Saccharomyces cerevisiae S288C: one gene and its partners. Changing the gene in region 1 together with any one later gene gives a genetic interaction. Each region holds a gene or a part of one and is shown in the gene's direction. Other genes may lie near its edges.

Evidence for each region.
Region 2: mutations in CLA4 (region 1) and UBP8 together harm fitness more than expected from each alone (negative genetic interaction), as found in Saccharomyces cerevisiae (5 studies listed by BioGRID, with this or other methods).
Region 3: mutations in CLA4 (region 1) and SPA2 together harm fitness more than expected from each alone (negative genetic interaction), as found in Saccharomyces cerevisiae (7 studies listed by BioGRID, with this or other methods).
Region 4: mutations in CLA4 (region 1) and PHO23 together harm fitness more than expected from each alone (negative genetic interaction), as found in Saccharomyces cerevisiae (6 studies listed by BioGRID, with this or other methods).

What each region holds. Positions count from the first base shown.
Region 1 is NC_001146.8:65,400-73,987, forward strand, and holds CLA4 (serine/threonine protein kinase CLA4), read left to right. Parts: upstream 1-3,515; coding exon 3,516-6,044; downstream 6,045-8,588. Other genes in the region: TOS6 (Tos6p), read left to right, coding at 345-653; non-canonical poly(A) polymerase TRF5, read left to right, coding at 1,118-3,046; MON2 (Mon2p), read right to left, coding at 6,274-8,588. UniProt on the Saccharomyces cerevisiae protein: Involved in budding and cytokinesis.
Region 2 is NC_001145.3:714,994-718,630, forward strand, and holds UBP8 (ubiquitin-specific protease UBP8), read left to right. Parts: upstream 1-1,721; coding exon 1,722-3,137; downstream 3,138-3,637. Other genes in the region: FMP42 (Fmp42p), read right to left, coding at 1-452; FSH2 (putative serine hydrolase), read right to left, coding at 645-1,316; MRE11 (MRX complex nuclease subunit), read right to left, coding at 3,582-3,637. UniProt on the Saccharomyces cerevisiae protein: Histone deubiquitinating enzyme component of the transcription coactivator SAGA complex. SAGA acts as a general cofactor required for essentially all RNA polymerase II transcription.
Region 3 is NC_001144.5:98,458-109,048, forward strand, and holds SPA2 (Spa2p), read left to right. Parts: upstream 1-2,489; coding exon 2,490-6,890; downstream 6,891-10,591. Other genes in the region: nucleoporin POM33, read right to left, coding at 1-379; HIF1 (Hif1p), read right to left, coding at 587-1,744; serine/threonine protein kinase KNS1, read right to left, coding at 7,229-9,442; COX19 (Cox19p), read right to left, coding at 10,219-10,515. UniProt on the Saccharomyces cerevisiae protein: Involved in pheromone-induced morphogenesis and efficient mating, perhaps as a cytoskeletal protein.
Region 4 is NC_001146.8:439,192-446,251, reverse strand, and holds PHO23 (Pho23p), read left to right. Parts: upstream 1-3,893; coding exon 3,894-4,886; downstream 4,887-7,060. Other genes in the region: YNL095C (uncharacterized protein), read left to right, coding at 1-1,340; 40S ribosomal protein eS7 RPS7B, read left to right, coding at 1,937-2,080, 2,426-2,854; PLS1 (Pls1p), read left to right, coding at 5,333-5,455; Ras family GTPase RAS2, read left to right, coding at 5,682-6,650; putative tyrosine protein phosphatase OCA1, read left to right, coding at 6,969-7,060. UniProt on the Saccharomyces cerevisiae protein: Component of the RPD3C(L) histone deacetylase complex (HDAC) responsible for the deacetylation of lysine residues on the N-terminal part of the core histones (H2A, H2B, H3 and H4).

The sequences.
Region 1 (8,588 bases):
CACGAAATGTAGCAGAGTCACTACATTGATACTGATCTTGTACTTCCGAATAAGGCACCGCCAGATCAATTCTGTCTGATTTTGGCGTCTTCTGGTATAGTCTTGTAATGAACGGTGGTGATTCTCGAGGAAAATAAAATTCGTGATAAATACATGCATGTGTATATATAAGGCGCTATATATGGCCTTGAAACTTTGTTATTACGCCTACTCCATCTTTATTGGTACATATATCATTTAAAAGAGTAGTCCATAGAAAACCAACTGCATTCCTTCCTTATCCCTGCCTTCGGCTAATTTTAAACCAACTTTTTACCTTCCTTTAATATCAATATCAAAATACAATGAAATTCTCTACTCTCTCCACCGTTGCTGCCATTGCCGCATTTGCTTCCGCAGATTCCACCTCTGATGGTGTCACTTACGTAGATGTTACCACCACCCCACAAAGTACTACATCTATGGTCTCCACCGTGAAAACTACTTCCACTCCATACACTACAAGTACCATTGCCACTCTATCCACTAAATCTATCAGTAGCCAAGCTAACACCACCACCCATGAGATCAGCACATACGTCGGCGCTGCCGTTAAAGGCTCCGTTGCGGGTATGGGTGCCATCATGGGTGCTGCTGCCTTTGCTTTGTTATAAGTTGCATGGACAACTTAAACTAGGAAGGATATTCCGCTTCATTTCATTAATTTCACATTTTTTTATCTACATGATATGTATTTTCCCTCAGTTACCAGATTCGCTAGCTTCGAAGCAAGGACTCCTTGGTCATACTTAATAAAGGAACGTCTGCTTCATTCTCCTAAAGTTCCTTTCGATAAGGACGCAGAAGGCACCTTACTAGACCATTGTATAAACTCATAACTACATACTAATTCAACGATATGTTACATTTATTTTCTTGTGGTTACCCCCCGCAAATTTCCAGGCATCTCATCTCATCGCAGTTAAAAAAAAAAAAGTTGTAAAAAGGTAATAAAGCGATACTTGATGAAAGCAAACATCTGTAATAACAGTTCACAAGGTTAAGCTGGTTCGTTTCACTAGCGTATCATTTTTTATTTTTCAAATAAACAAACGAGGGCGGAGTTTATTGGGTCGTCATGACAAGGCTCAAAGCAAAATATTCACCTACAAAAGGTAAAAGAAAAGAAGATAAACATACAAAACGTATGCGTAAATCATCCTTCACAAGAACGCAAAAAATGCTTGAAGTATTTAACGATAATCGCTCGCATTTTAACAAGTACGAGAGCCTCGCTATCGACGTTGAAGACGATGACACTTTCGGAAACCTAGTCTTAATGGAAAATGATAAAAGTGATGTCGACATACCTGTAATAGAAGAAGTCACATCAAGTGAAGATGAACAAAGGGCAGAATCTAGCAAAAGAAACAATTCTCTCGAAGATAATCAAGATTTTATTGCTTTTTCGGACAGCTCTGAAGATGAAACAGAACAAATAAAGGAAGATGATGATGAAAGAAGCAGTTTTCTGTTGACCGATGAACATGAAGTTTCTAAGCTTACTTCACAGCAATCTCTGAACACTGAAAGCGCTTGCAATGTGGAGTATCCTTGGATAAGAAATCATTGTCATTCGAAACAAAGGAGAATAGCAGATTGGCTAACTTCAGAAATCAAAGATTTCGTTCATTATATCTCTCCAAGCAAGAACGAAATCAAGTGCAGAAATAGAACGATCGATAAACTACGCCGGGCGGTCAAGGAACTGTGGTCGGATGCAGATTTGCATGTGTTTGGTTCTTTTGCCACCGATTTATATTTGCCGGGTTCTGACATTGACTGTGTCGTAAACAGCCGGAATCGCGATAAAGAGGACAGAAATTACATTTATGAATTGGCGAGACATTTGAAAAACAAAGGGCTAGCTATAAGAATGGAGGTTATTGTTAAAACGCGAGTGCCTATTATCAAATTCATAGAGCCCCAATCACAGTTACATATCGACGTTTCATTTGAAAGAACGAACGGGTTAGAGGCTGCAAAACTCATCAGGGAATGGCTAAGAGACTCTCCAGGGTTACGTGAACTGGTACTGATAATAAAACAATTTTTGCATTCAAGACGATTGAACAATGTGCACACAGGAGGATTGGGAGGTTTCACAGTAATCTGTTTGGTTTATTCTTTTTTAAATATGCATCCGCGAATAAAATCAAACGATATCGACGTTCTAGATAACCTGGGTGTTCTACTGATTGACTTCTTCGAACTTTACGGAAAAAATTTTGGTTATGATGACGTTGCTATAAGCATATCTGATGGTTACGCCTCTTATATTCCTAAATCGTGTTGGAGAACTTTGGAACCTTCAAGGAGTAAATTCTCGCTAGCTATTCAAGATCCTGGTGATCCTAACAATAATATAAGCAGAGGCTCCTTTAATATGAAGGATATAAAAAAGGCCTTTGCTGGTGCCTTCGAACTGTTGGTCAATAAATGCTGGGAATTGAATTCTGCTACATTCAAAGACCGCGTTGGAAAAAGTATACTCGGAAACGTGATCAAATACCGTGGGCAAAAGAGAGATTTCAACGACGAAAGAGATTTAGTGCAGAATAAAGCCATCATTGAAAACGAGCGCTACCACAAGAGGCGCACGAGGATAGTTCAAGAAGATTTATTTATAAACGACACCGAAGACTTGCCAGTAGAGGAGATCTACAAACTTGACGAACCTGCAAAGAAGAAACAGAAGGCAAAAAAGGATAAGAGAGAAGGGGAAATCAAAAAGAGTGCCATTCCATCTCCACCTCCGGATTTTGGAGTGAGCAGAAGCAAATTGAAACGCAAAGTGAAAAAAACTGATCAGGGCTCTCTCCTACACCAAAACAACCTCAGCATAGATGACTTGATGGGACTTTCTGAGAATGATCAAGAATCCGATCAAGATCAAAAAGGAAGAGATACCCCTTCGGGACAAGATGAGAAATCACCACTGGAAACTAAGACAGTAGATGCTCAAACGAGAAGGGACTACTGGCTCTCTAAAGGCCAGGCTCTTTAACACAATATAGACTCTTATAGACTATTTACTATTTATACAAGAATACCACATCGATGTCCAAGTGAAACAATAAGCTAATGATATCAAACGCGTGGGTATTTTCCCTTTCCGGAAATATAGAGCCACCAAAAAAGGATAGTTTCCCGATATGGAAATTTTCTCGAGCCGGTAAGATGACGAAATTTTTCATCTCTGGCATGATAGAAACATAGTATGGAACGTGCAGGAGAGTCTGATTCGAGACACATAATTTGAAAGAACCTTCTAGCCTGAGCCTTGTACATGTATTAGCGTTGCCAGTTATTTGCTTCTGCTGCTAATAAGATCAAAACCTTAAGTCCTTTATTTCGATCGAACGTACTGCGCTACTGAAAACCATTGCATCTTTTGCTATCATTCATTCCTGGTGGTTTCTTTGGTGTAATAAATCGAACAGTGAAACTGAAACATAAAAGAAATAGTGCAAAATATGTCTCTTTCAGCTGCAGCGAATAAGATATCTGACAACGATTTCCAAAATATCGGACCGGCACCTAGACCTCCCAGTTCAAATAGCCAGGGCCGTACTTGCTATAATCAAACGCAACCTATAACCAAACTTATGAGTCAACTGGATTTAACATCAGCGTCCCATTTAGGTACAAGTACCTCCAAAAAAAAAAGCGGGTGGGTGTCCTACAAAGATGACGGTATACTTTCATTTATATGGCAAAAGAGATACCTGATGCTACACGATTCGTATGTAGCCCTTTACAAGAACGATAAACAAAATGACGATGCGATCTTGAAGATACCACTAACTAGTATTATAAGTGTAAGCAGGACACAGTTGAAACAATATTGTTTTGAGTTGGTGCGCTGCAGTGACCGAAATTCTGTATCATCAGGATCCTCGTCCTCTTTGAATGTATCATCAGACAGTAACTCCAAAAAATCAATATACATTGCTACAAAGACAGAAAGCGATTTGCATAGTTGGTTAGACGCCATTTTTGCTAAATGTCCATTATTAAGTGGTGTATCTTCTCCAACAAACTTCACACATAAAGTTCACGTTGGTTTTGATCCAGAAACAGGTAGTTTTGTTGGTATGCCCACCAACTGGGAAAAATTATTAAAGCACTCCAGAATTACAGGAGAAGATTGGAACAATAATTCTGCGGCTGTCATTCAAGTGTTGCAGTTTTATCAAGAGTATAATGGAGCCGGAAATCCCACAAATACTTTAGACAAGCCTCAAAGTGGTGAAACTTCCTCCTCTCAAAAATCGCTGCCAAACAGCTATAATGATAACAAACTCAGAAATAATTCAGTAAATTCAAAGTCATCTTCAGGCGTTTCTTCAAGTATGGTATCACAGAGGAAAACCTCACAACCACCAAATACCAAATCGCCTGTTTCTCTAGGAAGCGGCTCACTGCCACCAATAAATACAAAATTGCCCACTAGTCAGTCAAATATTCCAAGACACTTACAAAATGTTCCCAACCAACAATATCCTAAGATGAGAAACGGACACTCCCCAACCAATGGCCAATTTCCTAGGGGACCTATGCATCCAAACAATTCTCAACGATCTTTGCAGCAGCAGCAGCAGCAGCAGCAGCAACAAAAACAACAGCATCAACAATATCCATACCACCATCAAGGACCATCTCCATCTCCATCCCCATCTCCGTCTCCATTAAACCCTTATAGGCCACATCACAATATGATAAATCCTTATTCCAAACAACCTCAATCGCCATTAAGTTCACAGTCGACCCAAAACCAAGCAATTCCACGTTATGCACAAAACTCAAGTCCTACAGCCGCACACTTTCAACCTCAAAGAACAGCTCCAAAGCCACCAATATCAGCTCCAAGGGCGCCATACCCATCAAATCAAAATGCTACTAGTAACACACATGTACAGCCTGTTGCACCTAAGAATGACCAGTCAACCCCACAAACAATGAGGCAGGCCCCAAAGAGACCGGATGCAGATGTCGCACAACCGGGTGGTGTGGCCAAACCGAAGAAGCCAGCAAGGCCTACCATGTCAACTGCAGAAATAATGAGTAAGCTGAAGAAAGTCACCGTAAATGCGGATCCATCTCAATGCTTTAAAGTGATCGAGAAGGCCGGTCAAGGTGCAAGTGGGTCCGTCTACCTTGCAGAGAGGACGCATATTCCGACAGAAAGTAATATGATCGAACTCATAAACAATGATATTGATGAGCCGCACGTAGGAGATAAAGTTGCTATCAAGCAAATGGTCTTATCTAAACAACCTCGTAAAGAACTCATAGTGAATGAAATTTTGGTTATGAAGGATTCACGTCATAAAAATATCGTCAATTTTCTCGAGGCTTATTTGAGAACAGACGATGACCTATGGGTTGTGATGGAGTTTATGGAAGGAGGTTCACTAACAGACATTATCGAGAATAGTCCCACCAACGATAATTCACATTCACCACTAACAGAACCCCAAATTGCATATATCGTACGAGAAACTTGCCAAGGCTTGAAATTTCTACACGACAAGCATATCATTCATAGGGATATTAAATCAGATAATGTCTTGCTGGACACTAGAGCTAGGGTGAAAATTACCGATTTTGGGTTTTGCGCCAGATTAACTGATAAAAGAAGCAAAAGAGCCACTATGGTTGGGACACCTTACTGGATGGCACCTGAAGTTGTCAAACAACGTGAATACGATGAAAAGATTGACGTATGGTCTTTGGGTATCATGACCATTGAAATGCTGGAGGGTGAACCACCATATTTAAATGAAGATCCACTAAAGGCGTTGTACTTAATTGCAACTAATGGTACACCAAAGCTCAAGCATCCAGAAAGTTTGTCTTTAGAAATTAAACGCTTTCTAAGCGTTTGCCTTTGCGTAGATGTTAGATATAGGGCATCAACCGAAGAGCTTTTACACCACGGTTTTTTCAATATGGCATGTGATCCAAAGGATTTGACATCACTGTTGGAGTGGAAGGAATGAAGCACACAACTATTTCTATAAGCATATCATACATACTACAATCTTATGTATTTCTTTTCTTTTAGCTATGCATACCAATGGCATAATATATAAATACGTTCACCTTAAAAGTTTTTTTTTTAAAGTAAATAAAAAAAGACCTGCAACGATACAATAATCAATCCAATGTCGTTTAATATTACTATTTATCCTACGTGATTTTTAAAAATATTCGTCCATGCTTCAGCTTCTAGTCTAGTTTCGTAAATCCAAGTGATAATTCCAAAACTTTATCTTGGAGGCCATCCATTTTATGAGATACTGGGATGGTTCTTAAAATCAACGGACTTAATGTTTGTAGGTTTTCAACTCCAATTTGTTTGTTGCCAAGGGTCGAATTTTGATCTAGAACACCTCTTAAAATCACGCATAGCCCATTTAATAGAGTAGCTAGTTCTGTTTTACGCAATTTTGGTATTGGTGCTCGCCCAATCAAGTATTCATCTGAGATATATCTTCTAAGAGCAAGGGCAATTCTTGCAGAAAGATAAGGAGCAGTTAACTTTCTTAATTTCTCGTTTGTGTTCAACATAAAATTAACCAAATCTTGCAAGCACTCTAAAGAGCACTTATATTTTGTCTGAAAGCGAGGATTTGTGGTGGATCCAAATATACATGAAAAATCGAACGAAGATAGTTTTTGAGACAATTCAGAAAACGTACCACAGTCTTGCATCAAAGCATTTTCTAATTCATCGAATTCATATAAAAATGAACAATCCCAGACGGCATAAATGAAAGTGTCTAATTGCCTTTCATTGAAGAGATCAATGATTCTGTTTTCCAGCAATATCTCCCTATATTTGGAATACTCATTCAAATCGTCTATCTCGGTTAAATTATCGAGCTCTGGGTTGATTCTTTGTAATGTGACAACAATAACATTTATAAATAAATCACAAAAGTTATCCTTTAATGGATTTTCTGCATCTTCTTGGAGTGATTTGAAAATTTTGTTCGACAAATCACAGAAGCAATTGGAAGCAAGAACCCATATGGGGATTTCATCACTCTCTGACCCTGTAATAAGCGATTTTCGCTTGATGATTTCAGCCAAATTTTTCAATATTCTTAAAATATGCTTTGCTTTCAGTGTGGATATACCAAATTGATCTATTTTTGCTATTCTATTTCTCAGGTTAGAACATGACATATAGCTGATTGCCTCAAAAGTTGGTAACCTGTTAAGTGATGCTTTTGGAAGCTTTGGTCCAAGTTTTTTTGTTATTTTTTCCCTTGTATCAAAAGCCAATATCGATATTGTACTTAACTGGAGAAGAATCAAAATTTCTGTATCTTTAGAATCATTTGTCATAAATATATCAAGTCCAGACAATATGGCCTTTTGCATAGAGGACGGTTTAGTTTTGTCTTGGACAAACTCAGGTAAGAGAGGATATTTTATGGCAGAATTGAATAAAAGAAGAACTTTTTCCACAAATTCATCTGTCATCGCATCGTATTTCGATATTAATTGGTAAAGAGGAGGAAATCCGGTTATTAGTTCGTATATACAATCGTATTCAGTTTTGCTCGATGCGTTTGTGGAGAGATCACTGTACGTAATATTGTAGTCGGTAAATATTTCGCAGCACTTTTTCAATATATCTGATGGAACGTCCTCAATAGTGATGATTTCTTTCAGCAGGGTTTGATAATTTAATATTACAGCATTCTTGGTATTATTAGAAGTGGAAGACAACAATCTTTTCAAAAAATCTAATAACATTGACCATTCCTTGGCGCAGGTAGTGTTGTTTTTGAAGTCCTTAAAGTGTTCCGGATAAAGCTTAATTAATCCTTGCAATGTTACATTTATAAAATCAGTTTCATTTTCGAGTTCTTCAGTGGACCATTCCTTGGTAAGCAGTGGTTCAATAACCTCTAAGAAAATTAGGTCCCATGGGGGGAAGCAAACAGAATGGGAGTCGATGATTCTGAAAAAAGTCTGCACAGCACCGTTTTTAACTTCTACTCTATCATCATTAGTACAATTGATCAAATTTTTCAAAAGATATATCCATAATCCGTTGTAAAGTTCCCAATCATGAGATGAACTGGATGTAATGATTTCAATTAATTTTTGATTATTAATCTTTTCGGAGAGACTTCTACGTTTCTCATCACTTAAATTTAATGTTTCGGGATTGAAGCGGACTCTGAGATAATCTCCAACTAACCAGAACTGACTAATAGAAGAAAAGGAGATATTAAGATTTCGCTTCTGACTTACGAAATTGACAAGCGTATCAATAACGAATTTAATGACACTCATAGGTAAACTCTGTAAGAAATCATCAGAAATTAGTTTAAAAACATCGTATGACACTTGGATCATGTTCTTATGCTTCTGAACGATACCTTCAAATAAAGATGAATCATCTATATCCTCATTCACGGAAAAATCAGTATCCTCAACTGTCCACTCGAATGGTGAATTAATGATGTTGAAAATATTGGTCCAAGAGTTCATTAACAGTTCACCAAATTCGTTCAGAATCTCTT
Region 2 (3,637 bases), on another chromosome or scaffold:
CCTGATCTTTGTGGGAAGCTATTTGCCAATTGAAAACATGAAATGAAGACGAACGGACCGGCAACTGCCAAAAGCGTGTAACCGACAAGATATGGGTCCCAAAGAGACACTAGATGCTTGGCAGAAATAAAATTACCGCTTGCTAGGAACAAGAGACATGATCCTATTATTCCGCAGACACGAGGTCCATACATATCCAAAATCTTACCGACAGGAAGGGCCATGATGTTTGTTACAGTAGCACTGAGAGCAAATATAAAATTTAATTTCAGATCCTGTGCAGTACATAATAATCTATCACCATCCTTAGGATCACACAATTCATGGTATACACCTTCTGAAATTAAAATAGGTTTCAAAGCAGCAAATCCAAAGATAATACCAGCTGAAAAAAGACACCAGATACAAGCACAGGCAACCTGTGCGTATCTCAACGTTCTTGTACTGGTCATTACAGTCTTTACTGCCCTAATACTGGCCTAACGAGGAATAAAATCATTTATAGATGCCATTGTTATCGTTATCATAATGAAGCATCGTATCGGTAGTTAAGTTAATTTGACGTATTATTACCCGGAGGATTTAATCATGTATAAATATGTATGTGAAGATTATGTGAAGATTACGTGCTATATATACTTGCCTCAGGTCAACTGCTGGAGCCATTGAGCCACTTTTCTCACAAACCCTCTTGAGTTCGGCACAAAGTGGCCCCCAGAGTGCATTAGTAAAGTGCGAGAGTCTTCCGTACAAGAGTTATATAGGCCTTGCACTTTGGCCGGCTCTGTGATAGTGTCAAGTTCTCCTTGAACATGTAGAGATGGGACCGATATTGGATGCAGGTCGTACTGTTCTTGATACTGTTGTGGTTGGAACCTGAAACCACTGACCGCCATGAAAAATTCTAGCGGCGGCTGTTCTTCTGTTGTAAGGCCCAACAAACCATTGAAATCCGTTGCTAGGTATCCAGCTACACCGGCTCCTTGACTAAATCCTACAATACCTGCAAATGGACCATTTTCAAGGACATAATTGTGTAAATAGTCGATTGTCGTCTGCGGTATGAAATAGCCACCGGTGGAAGGGTCATTCTCTAGCCACGCAAGCACACCGGTATTCTCACCATCCCCAGGTGCATCAGCAATTACCTCACCCAAGAAATCAGGAACATCAGCTGGGGGAAATTCATTGGGTGCTGTTGGATAGTAGAGTTTATATCCTAACTTTTCCATTTCGGCGCGAAACCCCTTTGTCTTAGAGGCAAAGTAGTCACCTGACTGCGCAAGCCCATGTAACATCAATACATTCTTCGTCATGGTTACAGCTATTAAATCTTATAGTCTTGTAGTATTGCACATTCTTTCTTCACTTATACCTTTTTTTTCTTCTCTATTCTTCCTTTTTTTGCTTTTCTTTGAATTTTTCAAGTGAAAAAAAATCCTCGATTATAGTGTGTAAAAAGCATCAATAATTTATATTGTATATGGGCTAGAAAGCTGTCGTAATAGCAAAGGGATTATATTAGTGGACCTGATTAATTCTAAAAAGATATTTTACGGATAATAATAAAGGTTTTCTTTTGAGACCAGTTAGTCCATTTCTTTCAACTGGCTGTCATAATTTTGAATACTATTTATTGATCGGATCAAAAGGGAAAACTACAGCTTCGGTCCTCGTCGTCCTACTTGAAACCCTGCTTTTTTTATTTGTTATTAATAATTATGAGCATTTGTCCACATATACAGCAAGTATTTCAGAATGAAAAGTCTAAAGATGGGGTTCTAAAAACGTGCAATGCTGCCAGGTATATATTAAATCATTCCGTACCCAAGGAAAAATTCTTAAACACCATGAAATGTGGTACATGCCACGAAATAAACTCTGGTGCAACTTTCATGTGTCTACAATGTGGATTTTGTGGATGTTGGAACCATTCGCATTTTCTCTCTCACAGTAAACAGATTGGTCACATATTTGGTATCAACTCAAATAATGGCCTTTTATTTTGCTTCAAATGTGAGGACTATATAGGGAATATCGATCTGATTAACGATGCTATCCTAGCGAAGTATTGGGACGACGTGTGCACAAAGACCATGGTTCCTAGCATGGAAAGAAGAGATGGGCTTTCTGGCCTGATCAACATGGGATCCACTTGTTTCATGAGTAGTATTCTCCAATGTCTAATCCATAACCCTTACTTTATTAGGCACTCAATGAGTCAAATTCATTCTAATAATTGTAAAGTGCGTTCTCCAGATAAATGTTTTTCATGTGCACTCGATAAAATTGTTCATGAACTTTATGGAGCGCTGAATACAAAGCAAGCTTCTTCGTCATCTACATCTACTAATCGGCAAACCGGATTCATATATCTTTTAACTTGTGCCTGGAAAATCAATCAAAATCTAGCAGGGTATTCACAACAAGATGCTCATGAATTTTGGCAGTTTATAATTAACCAAATCCACCAAAGCTATGTTCTTGATTTGCCAAATGCCAAGGAAGTCAGCAGAGCAAATAATAAGCAGTGTGAATGCATAGTGCATACTGTGTTTGAGGGCTCCTTGGAAAGTTCTATTGTGTGTCCAGGCTGTCAAAATAATTCAAAGACAACCATTGATCCATTCTTGGATCTTTCTCTGGATATCAAGGATAAGAAAAAACTTTATGAATGTCTTGACAGTTTCCATAAAAAAGAACAGTTGAAGGATTTCAACTATCATTGTGGGGAGTGTAACAGCACTCAAGATGCAATAAAGCAACTAGGCATACACAAATTACCATCGGTTTTGGTTTTGCAATTGAAAAGATTCGAACACCTACTTAATGGAAGTAACAGAAAACTAGACGATTTTATTGAATTTCCAACTTATTTAAATATGAAAAATTACTGTTCAACGAAGGAAAAAGATAAGCATTCTGAAAATGGCAAGGTTCCAGACATTATTTACGAATTAATCGGTATTGTTTCCCACAAGGGGACGGTTAATGAGGGACATTATATTGCATTTTGTAAAATTTCTGGAGGGCAATGGTTTAAATTCAATGATTCCATGGTCTCCTCTATATCTCAAGAAGAGGTTTTAAAGGAACAGGCATATTTATTATTCTACACCATTCGTCAAGTAAATTGATTCAGCAAATAGCATTCAACAATAATAATAAAACAAAAAAGAAGAAAAAGCTATGCATATTCCTATCACAGTTAACGCTTGCTTCCGTTCTTTTTTCTATATCATCGTTTCCATCATGTTTTTCTTTAAATTGAATACTTTCCTATGCTCTTAATGAGTTGCGATTGTGCATATACTGTATTTCAAAATCCTTTGTATCTAACTAAGGAAGAAAATTACTATGACGTTTATTCAGGATTTTTTTTTTTCATTCCTTGCTATACGAACAAAAGAGCAAAGGCTGGAAAACTAAGTGAGTTTATATATAGTAATAATTAAAGAACATATCATTATCATGAATTTAGAATGCAAATTTGCTCCTCTCAAAATGGCATACCTTGTTGTTCGCGAAGGCAAGCCCTTGGTTATAAATAGGATATAATATAATATAGGGATCAAGTACAACTATTTTCTTTTCTTAGCAAGGAGACTTCCAAGAATATCCGTCTTTGGCGTCCTTG
Region 3 (10,591 bases), on another chromosome or scaffold:
ATGAAAATCTTGGAGTGAACAACCAGAAGTTGGCCAAAACCAAATAAAGCACGTCTTCACTCTTTAGGAGTCCAGCAACGCGTGATTTTATGGAAGCCTTAGTGGCAGCGGCATCTTGAGTCTGCAATGGTTCATTGCGGGTGAAAAATTGCTGGTAAATGATGATACCGAAAGATTCGATGACACCGAGATATGCCGATCTGTAATAAAATTCTGACATCTTGAGCAGGTAAAGAATGGAGCTGATCAATACGACGGAATGACCGGTAAACCATGCAAACTGCAAGCTCTTGGCTACTGCCATGAACCTTTGCACGAGCGACTTATCTCTGGCAGGGAGGTTTGGGGGGCCTTGGTTATTAGCGGGTCTTGATGACATTATACTGACTATTCTTGGCTAGTGTTTCTTGCTCCTTATGAATAGAGAAAAATGACTTTTTTTAGATGTAGTAAGTATGTCATTTCAGGGATGGTCTGCTTGCTCTTTAAATATTTTTTCACCCTTTTAAAATGGGGCCCTTTCGCCGTACCAAAGAAGGAGAAATATACATTACGTATGTAGGTTGCTACATTTTACACAAAACTATCAATGCCTTCTAGGCTTCTTCTTGACCAGTTGAGAGAGATCATTGAAGTCACCAAGGGGCTTTTCGAGGGCGGGGAAGCCGATGGAGGTCGTGGGCTGCGAAAGAGGCCTCTTGGAGCCGTGCTGCTGATTTTCTTGCACCTCATCAATATCGTCTTGAATCTGTGCGAGCCTTGCCTGCTGTAACTCGCTGTCCTTGGGTCTTGTAGTCATGTGTTTTTCAAGCAGAGCCTTGGCATGCTTGAATCTTTTTAGTTTGTCCTTAGCCGGCACCTGATCAACCCACCTTAAAGCATCACACACCAAAAATTCTGCTTGTATCACCTTCTCAGTTACTTGTTCTGCGGGTTTCAAGGTCTTGTAATAGCCAAGCGCCTTCAAGTAATGATGAATGGCTCTACTGAACATCTCCGCCTCCCTTTCGATGTCACCCATCAGGATATACACATCACCGATGCGCAATCTGCTGTTCTCGGTTAGAGATTGGCCATCTGCTGTAGGGCGGCCCAACAGCATCAAGGCCTGCGCCAGTAGGTCCAAAGCATTCTCATACAGATCATTTTCAAAGTAAATGTGGAAACCAGACTTGCGAAGTTGCGATACGTCTTCAATTTCATCGTCATGTTCATTCGCTGGACTGAAGTTAGCCAATTCGTGCAAAGCTAAGCGTTCTTCCTCTTTCTCCACGTTTTCTTCCTCTTCTTCGCTACCTTCGCCACTGTCCTCACTATCACCACTGTCGACATCACCAGTCAAGTCTTCCTCTTCTTGGTCGAATTGGAACATCCTAGAATTAGGAATTTCTGTTTGACCGTTCTCGTTCCCCTCTTCTCCATTGCTCACATCAGACTCAGGCTCAGACTCAGACTCAGACCCAGATCCATCGTCACCTGCCAGAAGAGCGTCCCCAAACAGATTACCAGAATTCTGTACTTCCATGTTGTATACAGCTTGTGCGAATATAGTAAACAGTTCAGGATCAGGCAACAAACCATCTTTTGGGAGAGAGTCCAAAGTTTGTTGGCAGCGTTTAGCAGCTTCTAAGAACTTTTTCTGTGCGAGTAAATCTTTTGCAATTTGAACCTGTCTTTCCATATCAATTTGAACTTTATGTCTGCTAGTTCCGTTTGCCAACACGTCTTCTGCCCTTAGTTTCATATTCTGTTACTTCTAGAAGGAGACCTCATCGCCGATGTTACCTCAAAATTGAGTAGAATGAAATAATACAAAATTGGAAAAAACGCGAAACTTCAGTGCAGTAACATATCGTTCCGACATTCTCTGAGAAGTGGTAAGATTCCACTGCCGGGGAGCTACGAGTGCTCTTGCAAGTTTTTAGACACTGCTATATCCTTCGACTACGTAACCCCATTTTTTTATTTTTCTATATAAAAACATGCACTGTATACATATAATCACGTAAGTTCAAGTCGTGCTTAAAACGGGCACAGAAAACTAACTATGAGTTGCCGTACCATACATAAACTAGGAGAAGGTAGCGCAGTTCTTTTTTTTTACCAAAGGTTTGCACAAAAAAGATGGTCTAACGTAAGTAAGTTATCAATAAAACTGTTAAAAGTAGTATAAGAATCTTGAGATAGGCTTATTATTATGACTTTTTATGGCGGAAAAGGAAGAAGAAATACTGCGCCGGGTGATGCGTGACGCGTTTTTGGAAACGATGAGAATAAACTTTGAAGTATTTTGAGAATAATATTCTATTATCGAGTTCTTTCAGCAGAAAGCAACACATAGCTACGTATAGTTCGGTAAGATAAATTTGGTCAGAAGCGTGTGAAAGACGCTGAGAAACCACGTGAGACGAAGATTCAAATCAAGGCGTGAGGAATAACGCAATACGAGCCACCGAAACAGAATAAACAAAAGAAAAGAAAGAGTAAACATGGGTACGTCAAGCGAGGTTTCTCTCGCACATCATAGAGATATCTTCCATTACTACGTCTCACTGAAGACTTTTTTCGAGGTGACTGGCGAAAATCGTGACAGGTCAAATTCGACACGAGCTCAAAAGGCCAGAGCCAAGCTGTTGAAGCTATCTTCTTCGCAATTTTACGAGCTGAGTACAGACGTGTCCGATGAGCTGCAGAGGAGAATCGGTGAAGATGCTAACCAACCAGATTACCTTTTGCCGAAGGCAAATTTCCACATGAAAAGGAACCAGGCTAGACAGAAACTGGCCAATCTATCACAAACTCGATTTAATGATTTGTTGGACGATATCCTTTTTGAGATCAAGAGAAGAGGGTTCGACAAGGATTTGGATGCTCCACGGCCCCCATTACCGCAGCCGATGAAACAAGAGGTCAGCAAAGACAGCGATGATACTGCAAGAACATCCACAAATTCTTCCTCTGTGACTCAAGTAGCTCCAAACGTCTCCGTACAACCTTCTTTGGTCATTCCTAAGATGGCATCTATCGATTGGTCTTCTGAGGAAGAAGAAGAGGAGCAAGTAAAGGAGAAGCCAAATGAACCGGAGGGAAAACAAACAAGCATGGATGAAAAGAAAGAGGCTAAACCTGCTCTAAACCCCATAGTTACAGATTCTGATCTGCCTGACTCCCAAGTGCTCGCTCGTGATATCACATCAATGGCAAGGACTCCAACAACGACGCATAAAAATTACTGGGACGTTAATGATTCTCCAATTATCAAGGTAGATAAAGATATCGATAACGAAAAGGGTCCCGAACAGTTGAAGAGCCCTGAAGTACAACGGGCTGAGAACAATAACCCTAACTCAGAGATGGAAGACAAGGTTAAAGAACTGACTGATTTAAACAGCGACTTACATTTGCAAATTGAAGATTTGAATGCTAAGTTAGCATCTTTAACCAGCGAGAAGGAAAAGGAGAAGAAGGAAGAGAAGGAGGAAAAAGAAAAGGAAAAGAACTTAAAGATTAACTACACCATTGATGAAAGTTTTCAGAAAGAATTGCTGTCATTAAACTCTCAAATCGGTGAATTATCAATTGAGAATGAAAATTTGAAGCAGAAAATTTCAGAATTCGAACTGCATCAAAAAAAGAATGACAACCATAATGATTTGAAAATCACTGACGGTTTTATTAGCAAGTACTCTTCTGCCGATGGGCTCATTCCAGCTCAATACATCTTAAACGCTAACAACTTGATAATTCAATTTACTACTAGGCTTTCCGCAGTACCCATAGGCGACTCCACGGCAATTTCCCATCAAATTGGCGAAGAGTTATTTCAAATATTATCCCAGTTATCGAACCTAATCTCCCAGCTATTACTATCGGCCGACCTATTACAGTACAAAGATCAGGTCATTTTACTGAAGGCATCATTATCGCATGCGATCACATCGATAAGATATTTCTCTGTTTACGGTCCCGTATTAATTCCGAAAATAACTGTGCAAGCTGCTGTTTCAGAGGTTTGTTTTGCCATGTGTAATCTAATTGATTCAGCGAAAATAAAATCCGATTCAAATGGTGAGAGCACCACCTCTAATGAAGGTAACCGACAGGTATTAGAATATTCTTCACCAACTGCTACCACCCCAATGACGCCAACTTTCCCCTCGACTTCTGGAATAAATATGAAGAAGGGGTTTATAAACCCAAGAAAACCAGCATCTTTCTTGAATGATGTGGAGGAAGAAGAATCTCCAGTCAAGCCATTGAAAATTACACAAAAGGCAATTAACAGTCCGATCATAAGACCGTCATCGTCTAATGGAGTTCCAACAACCTCAAGAAAACCTTCAGGAACGGGGCTATTTAGTTTAATGATTGATTCATCAATTGCTAAGAATAGCTCCCATAAAGAGGATAATGATAAATATGTCTCGCCCATAAAGGCAGTAACATCGGCCTCCAATTCTGCAAGTAGCAATATTTCCGAAATTCCTAAACTAACACTACCTCCACAAGCCAAAATCGGTACTGTTATTCCACCGTCAGAGAATCAAGTTCCCAATATTAAAATCGAGAATACAGAAGAGGATAATAAAAGGAGTGACATAACAAATGAAATCTCTGTTAAACCAACTTCTAGCATTGCTGATAAACTGAAACAATTTGAGCAAAGTTCCGAAAAGAAATCATCACCAAAGGAAAATCCTATAGCAAAAGAAGAAATGGATTCAAAACCAAAACTATCCAATAAATTTATCACTTCAATGAATGATGTGTCCACAGATGATTCAAGCTCTGATGGTAACGAAAATGACGATGCAGACGATGATGATGATTTTACCTATATGGCATTGAAACAAACAATGAAGAGAGAAGGTTCAAAAATTGAAAAAAATAATGACAGCAAACTACCTGCAAATATAGTGGAACTTGATTTACATGAGTCACCGGAGTCCGTGAAGATTGAATCTCCTGAATCGATAAAGGAAATCACGTCATCTGAAATGTCTTCAGAAATGCCAAGTAGTTCGCTGCCTAAGAGATTAGTAGAGGATGTTGAGCCTTCAGAAATGCCAGAGAAGGGCGCATCTGTAGAATCAGTCAGGAAGAAAAATTTTCAAGAACCACTTGGTAATGTCGAATCTCCGGATATGACGCAGAAGGTCAAGTCTTTGGGTATGACAGGAAAGGCTGTAGGCCCAGAATCAGATAGTAGGGTCGAATCTCCGGGCATGACAGGACAGATTAAATCTTTGAATATGGCAGGAAAAGTTGTAGGCCCAGAAGCAGATAGTAGGGTCGAATCTCCGGGCATGAAAGAGCAGATTAAGTCTTTGGGTATGACAGGAAAAATTACAGCTCAAGAATCAATCAAGTCCCCGGAAGCGGCTAGGAAGTTGGCGTCATCAGGAGAAGTTGACAAAATTGAATCTCCAAGAATGGTAAGGGAAAGCGAGTCCTTGGAGGCAGTAGGCAATACTATCCCCTCAAACATGACAGTGAAAATGGAATCCCCAAATTTAAAGGGAAATACTGTGTCTGAACCTCAAGAAATAAGGAGAGACATTGCCTCCTCAGAGCCGATAGAGAATGTTGACCCCCCAAAAGTACTAAAAAAGATTGTCTTTCCAAAGGCTGTTAATAGAACTGGATCACCAAAATCAGTCGAAAAGACTCCATCTTCAGCTACACTGAAAAAGAGCGGGCTCCCAGAACCGAATAGCCAAATTGTTTCTCCTGAATTGGCAAAAAATTCACCTCTAGCACCGATAAAGAAAAATGTCGAGTTACGAGAAACTAATAAACCACATACTGAGACTATCACTTCTGTGGAACCAACAAACAAGGATGCCAATACTTCTTGGAGAGACGCCGACTTAAACCGTACGATCAAACGAGAGGAGGAGGACGAAGATTTTGATAGAGTGAACCACAATATCCAGATCACTGGTGCATATACGAAAACTGGAAAAATTGATTATCATAAAATACCTGTTGATCGTAAAGCAAAAAGCGAAGCAGAAGTGCATACTTCCGAGGAAGATATTGATGAATCAAATAATGTTAATGGAAAAAGAGCTGATGCCCAAATACACATCACTGAAAGAAAGCATGCTTTCGTAAATCCAACTGAAAATTCACAGGTAAAAAAGACGAGCCACTCACCATTTTTAAACAGTAAACCGGTTCAATACGAGAACTCAGAGTCGAACGGCGGCATTAACAACCACATAAAGATAAAAAATACTGGAGAAACTACGGCACATGACGAGAAACATTATAGTGATGATGATGATTCTAGCTATCAATTTGTTCCCATGAAACATGAAGAACAAGAACAAGAACAAAACAGAAGTGAGGAAGAGGAAAGTGAAGATGACGATGAAGAGGAAGAAGACAGTGATTTTGATGTGGATACATTTGACATTGAAAATCCGGATAATACACTATCAGAGTTACTATTGTATTTAGAACATCAAACAATGGACGTCATATCCACGATTCAATCGCTTTTGACATCGATCAAGAAACCACAGGTGACGAAGGGTAATTTGAGGGGAGAATCGAATGCAATCAACCAAGTCATAGGTCAAATGGTGGACGCTACTAGCATATCAATGGAGCAAAGCAGAAATGCCAATTTGAAGAAACACGGTGATTGGGTGGTGCAAAGTCTAAGAGACTGTTCGCGTAGAATGACAATTTTGTGCCAATTAACTGGCGATGGAATACTAGCGAAGGAAAAGAGCGATCAAGATTATGCTGACAAAAACTTCAAACAGCGGTTGGCAGGGATTGCGTTTGATGTTGCCAAATGTACAAAGGAGCTGGTAAAAACTGTAGAAGAGGCAAGTTTGAAGGACGAAATAAATTATTTGAATTCGAAGTTGAAGTAAAGTTAGTAGTATCTAGAGGAGAAAGAAAAGGAAGACAAAGACAATCAATAGAATGTATTATGTATGACATATAATAATAATAATTATAATAATAATAATAATAGTAGTAGCAGTAATAATAATATTATTATAGTATATTAAAACAACAAAAAATTAGTAAAAATACTATAAATGTTTGAATATGAAGATATATATGTAGGAAGAATTTTTATTGAATATAGAAATTTAAAGAAATATTATTAAAAACCGGAAAATGAAAAAGAAGAGTTAAAAAAAAAAAAAACGGAACTAGTAAAAGATGTGAAAAAAAGAAGAGAAAAGTAGAACGAGAACACCCACTATCCTTGGGTATTATTATAAGTTGCAATACCATCATCCAGTATGCCCAGATTAAACCATTCATGGTCCAGAGCGTCCTTTGCGGTAATCCTTTTTGTTGGGTCGAACTCAAACATTTTCCTGAGTAGATCGATGAACCAGTACCAAAACAAGAAAGTTTCCTTATCGAGTTCATCAGTAGTTGAGGAAGAAGAGGAATGTGTTTGTCTTTTCCATGCCAATTTCGAATTTATCAAAGACCAGTTTTTCTCCGGCGGTAGATTCCAATTGATGCTTAAGCTATCGCCGTAATCCTGTTTCAAGACCTTTGAGATGTAAATATCTAAGCGATCACATGACTGCAAGACCCTTTTCATTGACTTTTCGGTGGTTATGGTATCTCCGCGTTTATTTTTTTCAGGCCATTGTAAGCTTAAAGTTTTTCTGTCGAAATGCTTTATCACCGTTGAATTTAGGTCTGATGGAGAGTTGCCCAATTTATGTTTAGATTTGTAAAACATCTTATCAATAATGTCTGTGGGGAAAGGGGTTCCATTGATTCGTTGCATCATAGCCATATGTTCTAGATTTTCATGAATGGGGTAAAGAGATTCGCCAATAACCAGTTCTACTAGGACACACGCGATGGACCAAATGTCGCAGGGGAACGACCAGCCCAAGCCAAGGACAATTTCCGGGGCTCTATAGTGACGAGTGGATATTACAGGAGGATGATATTCGTAATGGAAAATTGCGCTACCGAAATCAATGATTTTGATTTCTGGATTTTTCAAGATTTTGCGCTTCCCCTTACTGGCTTCACGGCGTCTCTTGCTTAGCGACTGTACGGTTTTCAAAGGCAATTTTTGAGCAATATGGGTTTCGTCACAAATCAGGATATTTTCTGGTTTCAAATCCGTGTGTATTATGCCCAAATCGTGCAAGAAGCAGACAGATCTGATTAGCTGTCTGGCAATGGCCTGAATATGAGAGCCGGGGAACCTGGCAATGCCGTTGGAGCACATAAAATCGTAAATGGACCTGCCGTATAGATCTGTCACCAAACAAATGTGATTTTTGTAATCGAAGCACTCCCTTAGCAAGAGGCACTGGAACTGACCTTGAGGGTCATTATTCAGGATAGTCTGTAGAATTCTTAGTTCTGTTTTGGCGGCTTCTCTATATCTATCTACAGCCCTTATCACTTTTACAGCCACGTAATTAGGTTCATACTTGTTATCGATGCATTTAAGTACTTTACCAAACGTGCCTTGGCCCAATAGGTCCTTCACAACAAAGCGGCCGCCACTGCCAAATATGTCGTTTTCCTGGTAAACGTAGTGACCGTCTTTGTCCGTTTTGAAATTTGATTTATTGGATGATGCGCTTTCTGAAGAGCCGTTTGATGTAAATTTCCGTAGTGAAGAACCAATTTGTTTCTTGAGGTTGGATTGAGGCAGGGAAGCTATTTGTGCTGGTGGGTTGGAAAAGGGAGAAGTGCTGTGAGCAATCGTGAGATTCACTGCCTTGTTGCCCTCCAGAGTCTTTGCACACGACCCCGTTAGATGCAACAGCTCATTTTCAGTTTGCGTTACTCTTGGCACGATAGCGTTGGTTTGATCAGGAACATTAAAATAGTTCGATTGGTAGCTCAGCTTCGATAGAGGCAACTGAGGCAGTGAGATGGTTCTTTGCTTCTTGAATTTCTTTGGTGTCGTGATATACGTACTATTGCTTGTAGCTGCGGTACCGCACCCTGGATTATTTGAAGTAACAATATTATTGTTGTTATTGATACTGCTGCTACTAGGCAGAATCAAAGGTGACGAAAACTGAATTGGCTGCTCTTTGATAAAAATGATGTCATCGTCAGCATCCTCGTCCACTCGACTACTGTTATGATTATTACTGTTATTGATTGTGGTGTTAATGATACGCGGCTCCTCGTCTAGTTCTATGGCATTTTCATTGTCCAAGAACAACTGGTGTTGGTGTTGCCGAGGACGGAGCGGATTGTCTGCTTGATTCAGGTCTAGACTGTTCCTCAGATTGTCTGTTAGAAAAGAATTTTGCCGAGCAAACATCTCGTCCAGCAGCTTGTTTGTGCGCGTTTCTTCGAAATTATCCAAAAAGGTCTTGTTAGAGCTTGTATTGTTAGCAGGGCCCGTAGTAGTGGAATTATTCATATTTGCTCTTGAACGTTTTCTAGTGCCAATTTGAATATTCTGTGACATAACTAAGGTACGCGGAAGATAAAGCAATAATGAAGAAGAGCAGTATGCGTGTAGATTAGTCTTTGTTGTGCTAAATCTTCGACTTGGTAAATACTATGTTTCTTTCACTCTTTTTCTGTCTCCCACTTTGTTTCCTTTTTCTTTTTCTTTTTTTTTTTTGGGTTTGCTTGCTATCTGGCGCAGTATTTCGTGAATATAATATCTATTTAGTTAGCGTAAGCACGAGGAGTTACTGCACTGTTTCCTTTCACTTGGTGGTGAGGTAACAATACTTTGTAAATCCGGTAGATCTGGGAAGTAAATACTAAACTTTATTCTAATATAGGAACTTCATAATATAAAATCCAACGCACGATGCTAGAGATAAAAAAAGAGGGTGGGAGATGTGGAGCCAGGATTCAAATCGAAAATCGTAATCGGAAACTAAACCAGCATTGCAACCGGGCCATAAGCCATATCGTTAAGCACGCCAAAGCTTTTTCCCTTCGCTGTGTGTTTCCTCGCAACTTTAACTCCGGCCACTCACTAAGCCAAGGCGTGAGGAGAGAGACTAAAGCTTTGTGGAAAACCGCCCAATCACGCTGACCCCTTTGGCCCGTTTGCCGCCCCCTAGAAAAAAAAGAAACGGACGGGCCTGGGCCCGCACAGCCTCGAGCAGGGTCACTTCGCGCCATATCGGCGGCTATTTCAAAAAAAGAAGTTCTTTACCAGTTGTTGTAGAAAGTATGATATTACCAACAGCGTCTAGCTTTTATTCGATATTCCGATGTGGGCGGCTATTTATTATCGGTGGCGTCTTTTATGGTTTTACCGTTGTTGCCTGGAGCATCCTCAGGAAGACCTAAATGTGACCATTCATCGTAGTCCATCAATTGGTGGTCCATCCTGCACCGCAGGTAGTCCTTTGCCAGTAGTCTACAATTCATTGCATTTTCGTTCTGCACAAGCTGCATACATTTGAGATACTCTTGCATGTACTTGGTGCATTCGCCGTCGTGGTCTAGCGGGAACGAACCTCTCTCGGGTGGAGTAGGTCTCAATGCGCTCAGCGAGCTTCCTGGGTTCCCTGACATTGGATTCTTGTGTTATGTTTCGTAAAAGATACTTTGTGTGTAGTGGGTGCGTTTGCTTGTTTTCTTGAAGTATAGA
Region 4 (7,060 bases), 370 kb from region 1:
ATACAGATACTAGCGAGCGTTTCTTCTCAAACGAACAACAGCTTTTCAACAATAAGTACACCGCTCGCGATAGTCTCACTGAAGCTATAGGTACAAAGGGTGAAAACGCAGACGTACCACCAATTTCAAGGAGATCAACAAATAGTATAGCTCCCCTGTCACTACCAGACACTTCTTCGAATTCAAAGATTACAAAACCAGTTCAGGTGAAGGCAAGAAATACTATTGCGTGCACTCAAAGCGAAGAGTCACAGGCAACTCGTGGTTCAAATCCATTAGATAGCCAATCATCTGCTTCAACAATACATTCTTATAATACGTCAGAGAGTTATGAGAGTAGCATAGATACTATGAGAGCACGTAGAACCGCGAGCCAGCCGAGAGCTTACAATACTACCACACTCCTAGAAGAGAACTGTTTAGATGAAAAATGCCCAAAAAATATGTCTATGGCGGCATTGGAACCTATCCGCTCCATTGATATGCGTGCATTACCTTCTCAAAATATACACCATCTTATCAGAGAGTACTCCAACGTTGACCAGTATGGTCATCAAAGGAGGAATTCCAGTTTACGCGGCGCTGATATGAATGATGTGCATTCAATTAGCTCAAATTCCACTTTACAGACTATAAAAACTGCTAACCTAACCAGGATCTTAACATCAGATGCCACTGTAAGTAAAAAGGATATTGAAACATCCGGCGAATCATTACCACAGTGGATGAGAAAATTTTCATTAACTCCATTACTTGTGTTTTTCCTAAAGAATTGTTTGAGACCGTGCTCTATGGCCGTGATCATCGCCCTAACTGTTGCATTTATCCCATGGGTCAAGGCTTTGTTCGTGACTACCGCTAATACTCCTCACATAAGCCAAGCTCCTGACAATGCACCACCATTAAGCTTTTTCATGGATTTTACAGGTTATGTCGGTGCCGCATGTGTTCCATTTGGGTTGATATTATTAGGAGCAACTTTAGGAAGATTAAAGATTGGCAACCTTTATCCTGGATTTTGGAAAGCCGCTGTGACACTCGTCATTTTGAGACAATGTGTCATGCCAATTTTTGGTGTCCTATGGTGTGATCGGTTAGTGAAAGCTGGATGGGTTAATTGGCAAGATGATAGAATGCTACTATTTGTTATAGCAATCAGCTGGAACTTGCCAACGATGACTACCCTTATATATTTCACCGCCAGTTTTACGCCGCCAGAAACAACTGCGCCAATCCAAATGGAGTGTGTTTCATTTTTCTTAATGCTGCAATACCCGCTAATGGTTGTTAGCTTGCCATTTTTAGTGTCTTACTTTCTGAAAGTACAGATGAACCTTTAGTTTTAATCCATTAAACAAAAAATTATTACCACTCCTAATCACTGTTTTAGGGTGGGTTAAAATTAACATTCTCCATTTTTATATAGAACTAATAAAAAACACCTACTTATAGACACGACCAAACTTTCCACAACCTTTCATCAGAGAGAAATGTTGATCAAGTTGAATGCGTGAAAGTAGCAATTCGAAACAACAACTACCTGTCATTCTGCATAGTAGTAGTTACGAAAGGCACAGAAAATAACAAAAAAAAAAAAAAAGTCAATTTTCTACGGTCTCCATCCGTACCTCTTTAAATCCGTACATTATTGTTTTGCTTAATTTCAATATTTCGGAAAAAGCGAGCGCCCTGGTAAAATGTGGTTCAAGCCTGCGAGCCTTTGCTTGGTAACTCACCAAATGCAATTCAGTCACGTTCCACACAGTTTGGGTTTCCAGCCTGGCTTTAGGGAAGAATGGGCTCACTAGGCGTTCATAATACGCGGAGGGGGAAATACCAAATGCTATTGATTATGGTTAAAATATGTGTTATTTGACTTTGTATATACAAACAGAAGAGAAACCAACACACTAAAGACTAGACACATAACTGACCAATGTCCTCTGTCCAATCCAAGATCTTATCCCAAGCTCCAAGTGAGTTGGAATTACAAGTCGCCAAGACCTTCATCGATCTAGAAAGCTCCTCTCCAGAACTAAAGGCTGACTTGAGACCATTGCAAATCAAATCTATCAGAGAAGTATGTTAAAAGTTATATAATTTGGAAGCAGCAACATTGTGATTTCTTCTAAAGGGGTTCTTTGCAGTAATTTTTTCAAAAAAGAGTGATTTTGAGCAGTATCTGTATGAAATTTTCATGTGTTCGAGAAAAATAGTAATTCCGAGAGCTGTCAATACCATGAACGTTGCGATGAGCCTTTGAACTATAAAGGCCTCCTTGGTCAGTACCAATATCGATGAATAAAATAGAAGCACGCGAAAAAGACCTTACCCCAAGGAGAAGAATCACAAACCCTTTTTTGTTATGAATGAACCAATTCAGTTACTAACTTTATTTCAACGCTGCTTGATTCTTATTGTTTAGATTGATGTCACCGGTGGTAAGAAAGCACTAGTCCTTTTTGTCCCAGTTCCAGCTTTGTCTGCATACCATAAGGTCCAAACCAAATTGACCCGTGAATTGGAAAAGAAATTCCCTGACCGTCATGTTATTTTCTTGGCTGAAAGAAGAATCTTGCCAAAACCATCTAGAACATCTAGACAAGTCCAAAAGAGACCAAGATCCAGAACTTTGACTGCTGTTCACGACAAGGTTTTGGAAGACATGGTTTTCCCAACTGAAATTGTCGGTAAAAGAGTTAGATATTTGGTTGGTGGTAACAAGATCCAAAAGGTTTTGTTAGACTCCAAGGATGTTCAACAAATCGACTACAAGTTGGAATCTTTCCAAGCTGTCTACAACAAGTTGACTGGCAAACAAATTGTTTTTGAAATTCCAAGCCAGACCAACTAAATAGTGAGATAACTATCATTCTCATCATTTGTCATACTTAAAGAAAATAATATTAAGAAAAAATAATAAAAAAAGAAACATAGTTATGAGAATACAAAAGGAGGTTTCCAAAAAGTGGGCTTTTTTAATTCGAGTAAAATAATTATGAATGTATACTTAAATATATTTTGTATCTGTCAATATAGAGATGCTTTAATTGGTGTTTTGACATTTTGGAATACATATTGGGTTGATTTCCCAAGTTCTCGCTGCAATCAGATAAAAAGGAAAAAAAATAATGGTTGCTAAGAGATTCGAACTCTTGCATCTTACGATACCTGAGTATTCCCACAGTTAACTGCGGTCAAGATATTTCTTGAATCAGGCGCCTTAGACCGCTCGGCCAAACAACCACTTATTTGTTGAAGAAAAAGCATTATTTATCGCTAGACAACGATACGTCCATCAACAACCGTTAGTTCTTTCACATTGATATGCGGATTACTTATCTGAAGGAAAGGAAAAAGGCGTGGAACAAGTGAGCATTAACATAACCATCTGAAATCTTAGATGATCCCAAGTATGTGTAATTAGATCCGCCTCTTCGCCCAGCACATTGTCCATGCATTATCTGCTTACCTCTACGCGTACCTTGACATGGCGTGTTACGTGTTTCAACTTTGTATAATCAGAATTTCATTTGAGTATATTTTACAAGTCAAAAGCCCAAATGACGTATACTTGAAATAATTGAGGCACGTCCAATTGTGAGTGGCAAACCTTTTTTTCGGTATTCTAGATAGAGCTAATCGCGTATTTGCAATTATAGTTTACAATTCTTAGACGATTTCCGAAGAAAGTTAAAAATGCCCTTGAAAAAAAAATATGTAGGAAAGAGTGCATGCACATGAAGAAGAAAGAAAGAGCTAGGGAAAAAACGAAAAAGGAGCCTAAGGAAAAGAGTTAGGCGTTTACAACAGGACGAACCCGGAAGGAGAAAAGTTTGTAGTCTTGCAGTATCACAAACAGCAACCACGTTCATAGTCTGAAATACGTACAAATGAGTTCACCAGCGAACCTATTCCCTGGATTAAACGACATAACTGACGTGCTGGAGGAATTCCCACTGGCCACCTCCAGATATTTAACATTACTACACGAAATAGATGCAAAATGTGTGCATTCTATGCCGAATTTGAACGAGAGGATAGATAAGTTCTTGAAGAAAGACTTCAATAAAGATCACCAAACACAAGTAAGACTGCTCAATAATATCAACAAGATTTATGAAGAACTGATGCCATCGCTGGAGGAGAAAATGCATGTCTCATCCATTATGCTGGATAATCTAGACAGATTGACGTCCCGGTTAGAATTGGCGTATGAAGTCGCAATCAAGAACACAGAAATTCCTAGAGGTTTAAGACTGGGTGTGGACAACCATCCAGCAATGCACCTCCATCATGAACTAATGGAAAAAATAGAGAGCAAATCAAACAGCAAATCGTCGCAGGCACTGAAGAGCGAATCAAGAAGAGAAGCCATGGCTGCCAACAGGAGGCAGGGCGAACATTACTCCGCCAGCACACACCAACAAGACGACTCAAAGAACGACGCAAACTACGGAGGCAGCAGGCACGAGAGCCAAGACCACACTGGTAACAACACAAACTCAAGAAAAAGAGCCAACGCTGCCAATACCAACAACGCCGATCCAGAGACCAAAAAACGCAAGAGGAGAGTTGCCACCACAGCCGTTTCACCAAGCACTATCAGCACGGCAACTGCCGTCAATAATGGCAGGATAGGTACATCTACAGCGTCCAGGGGAGTTAGCAGCGTCGGAAACAGCAACAACAGCAGGATATCAAGACCAAAAACCAACGACTACGGCGAACCGCTCTACTGCTACTGTAACCAAGTGGCATACGGGGAAATGGTGGGGTGTGATGGCGCAGACTGTGAGCTAGAATGGTTCCATTTGCCATGTATTGGACTCGAAACTCTACCTAAGGGCAAGTGGTATTGCGACGACTGCAAAAAAAAACTGTGAAATAGCTCTCGGGCGAATATCGCCTTAAGGAAATATCTACTAAATACCGAATATATACATATATATATATCTTAGCTACATATATATATATCTTAGCGTTTTAACGGGCGTGGCCGTATCAATGGATCTGCAAGATACTTGGGCCCTACCGGTCTAGATAAAATATTCAAATCGATGGTGATGACGGCACGATAAAACGTAATAAATGATGAAATGACTTGTCACGGCGTAGCAGCGCCAGCAGCTCAGTCTAATCGCCGTACAGTGGGTGGTGTGGCTAATCGCTTAGGCTTTTTATTCAGAAGGACCTTTTCATTCACCTCGCCCCCCTTGGAGGTTCCTGCCTGACCCCTTTGCCCCTGGCCTCGCCCCTGCGCCATGTCTCTGCCTGGAGCGTGACATTTAGGACGGTGAAGCTAGGCAGGCCTTCAGAAATTAAACGGAACATGACAGCAAAGACGAAACAAAGCTGGAATAAGGGGATCTGGGAAAACGGGAAACAAGGTTCACATCAGCAAACATTTCTACCGAAAATCTGGGTAAACATTTATAGTACCCCAACATCTTAAGTTTTAGCCGTTGTCTTCTCTTATCGCCTAGAATCGCTCATTTCAAGCGTAACGCAATCCGGCTTTTGTTTTTTTTCCATTTTATTCATCCACTCTTTATCTGACTCTTCTGCACTATATTAATCAACTAGGAGAAAATTACTTGAGCAGAAAGATACGAGAGAATTACGGATAAAAAAACCAAGTTAACCGTTTTCGAATTGAAAGGAGATATACAGAAAAAAAAATGCCTTTGAACAAGTCGAACATAAGAGAGTACAAGCTAGTCGTCGTTGGTGGTGGTGGTGTTGGTAAATCTGCTTTGACCATACAATTGACCCAATCGCACTTTGTAGATGAATACGATCCCACAATTGAGGATTCATACAGGAAGCAAGTGGTGATTGATGATGAAGTGTCTATATTGGACATTTTGGATACTGCAGGGCAGGAAGAATACTCTGCTATGAGGGAACAATACATGCGCAACGGCGAAGGATTCCTATTGGTTTACTCTATAACGTCCAAGTCGTCTCTTGATGAGCTTATGACTTACTATCAACAGATATTGAGAGTCAAAGATACCGACTATGTTCCAATTGTGGTTGTTGGTAACAAATCTGATTTAGAAAACGAAAAACAGGTCTCTTACCAGGACGGGTTGAACATGGCAAAGCAAATGAACGCTCCTTTCTTGGAGACATCTGCTAAGCAAGCAATCAACGTGGAAGAGGCGTTTTACACTCTAGCACGTTTAGTTAGAGACGAAGGCGGCAAGTACAACAAGACTTTGACGGAAAATGACAACTCCAAGCAAACTTCTCAAGATACAAAAGGGAGCGGTGCCAACTCTGTGCCTAGAAATAGCGGTGGCCACAGGAAGATGAGCAATGCTGCCAACGGTAAAAATGTGAACAGTAGCACAACTGTCGTGAATGCCAGGAATGCAAGCATAGAGAGTAAGACAGGGTTGGCAGGCAACCAGGCGACAAATGGTAAGACACAAACTGATCGCACCAATATAGACAATTCCACGGGCCAAGCTGGTCAGGCCAACGCTCAAAGCGCTAATACGGTTAATAATCGTGTAAATAATAATAGTAAGGCCGGTCAAGTTTCAAATGCTAAACAGGCTAGGAAGCAGCAAGCTGCACCCGGCGGTAACACCAGTGAAGCCTCCAAGAGCGGATCGGGTGGCTGTTGTATTATAAGTTAATAAAAAGGAAATAGTTGTAGAAACGCTAAGACGAAAAGAACTCTATAAAGTTGAAACGAGTACACACATTTATAAATATATACAAAAGTAAATAAAAAAGTGACTGTTTTTATATTGCTTATTGCCATTTGCTATTTCCGTTTCATTCTTGTTAACATTGGAAACTTTGGGCAATATCATATGGTTGCCGGGTAAAGGAAAAAACAAACAACATCGCTATAACATAAAATTGGACATTGCAGAGAGTCATCAATCACATCCATTTTCACAAGAAAGAGGTGTTCCACCTGGAATAACAAGCTTCTCTTTCCCCTTAGAATGACATCTAAAGTTGGTGAATATGAGGACGTTCCAGAGGATGAGTCCCGCCTCACAGAAGAGAACGTATCCGTACCTGAAGAAGAAGTAGA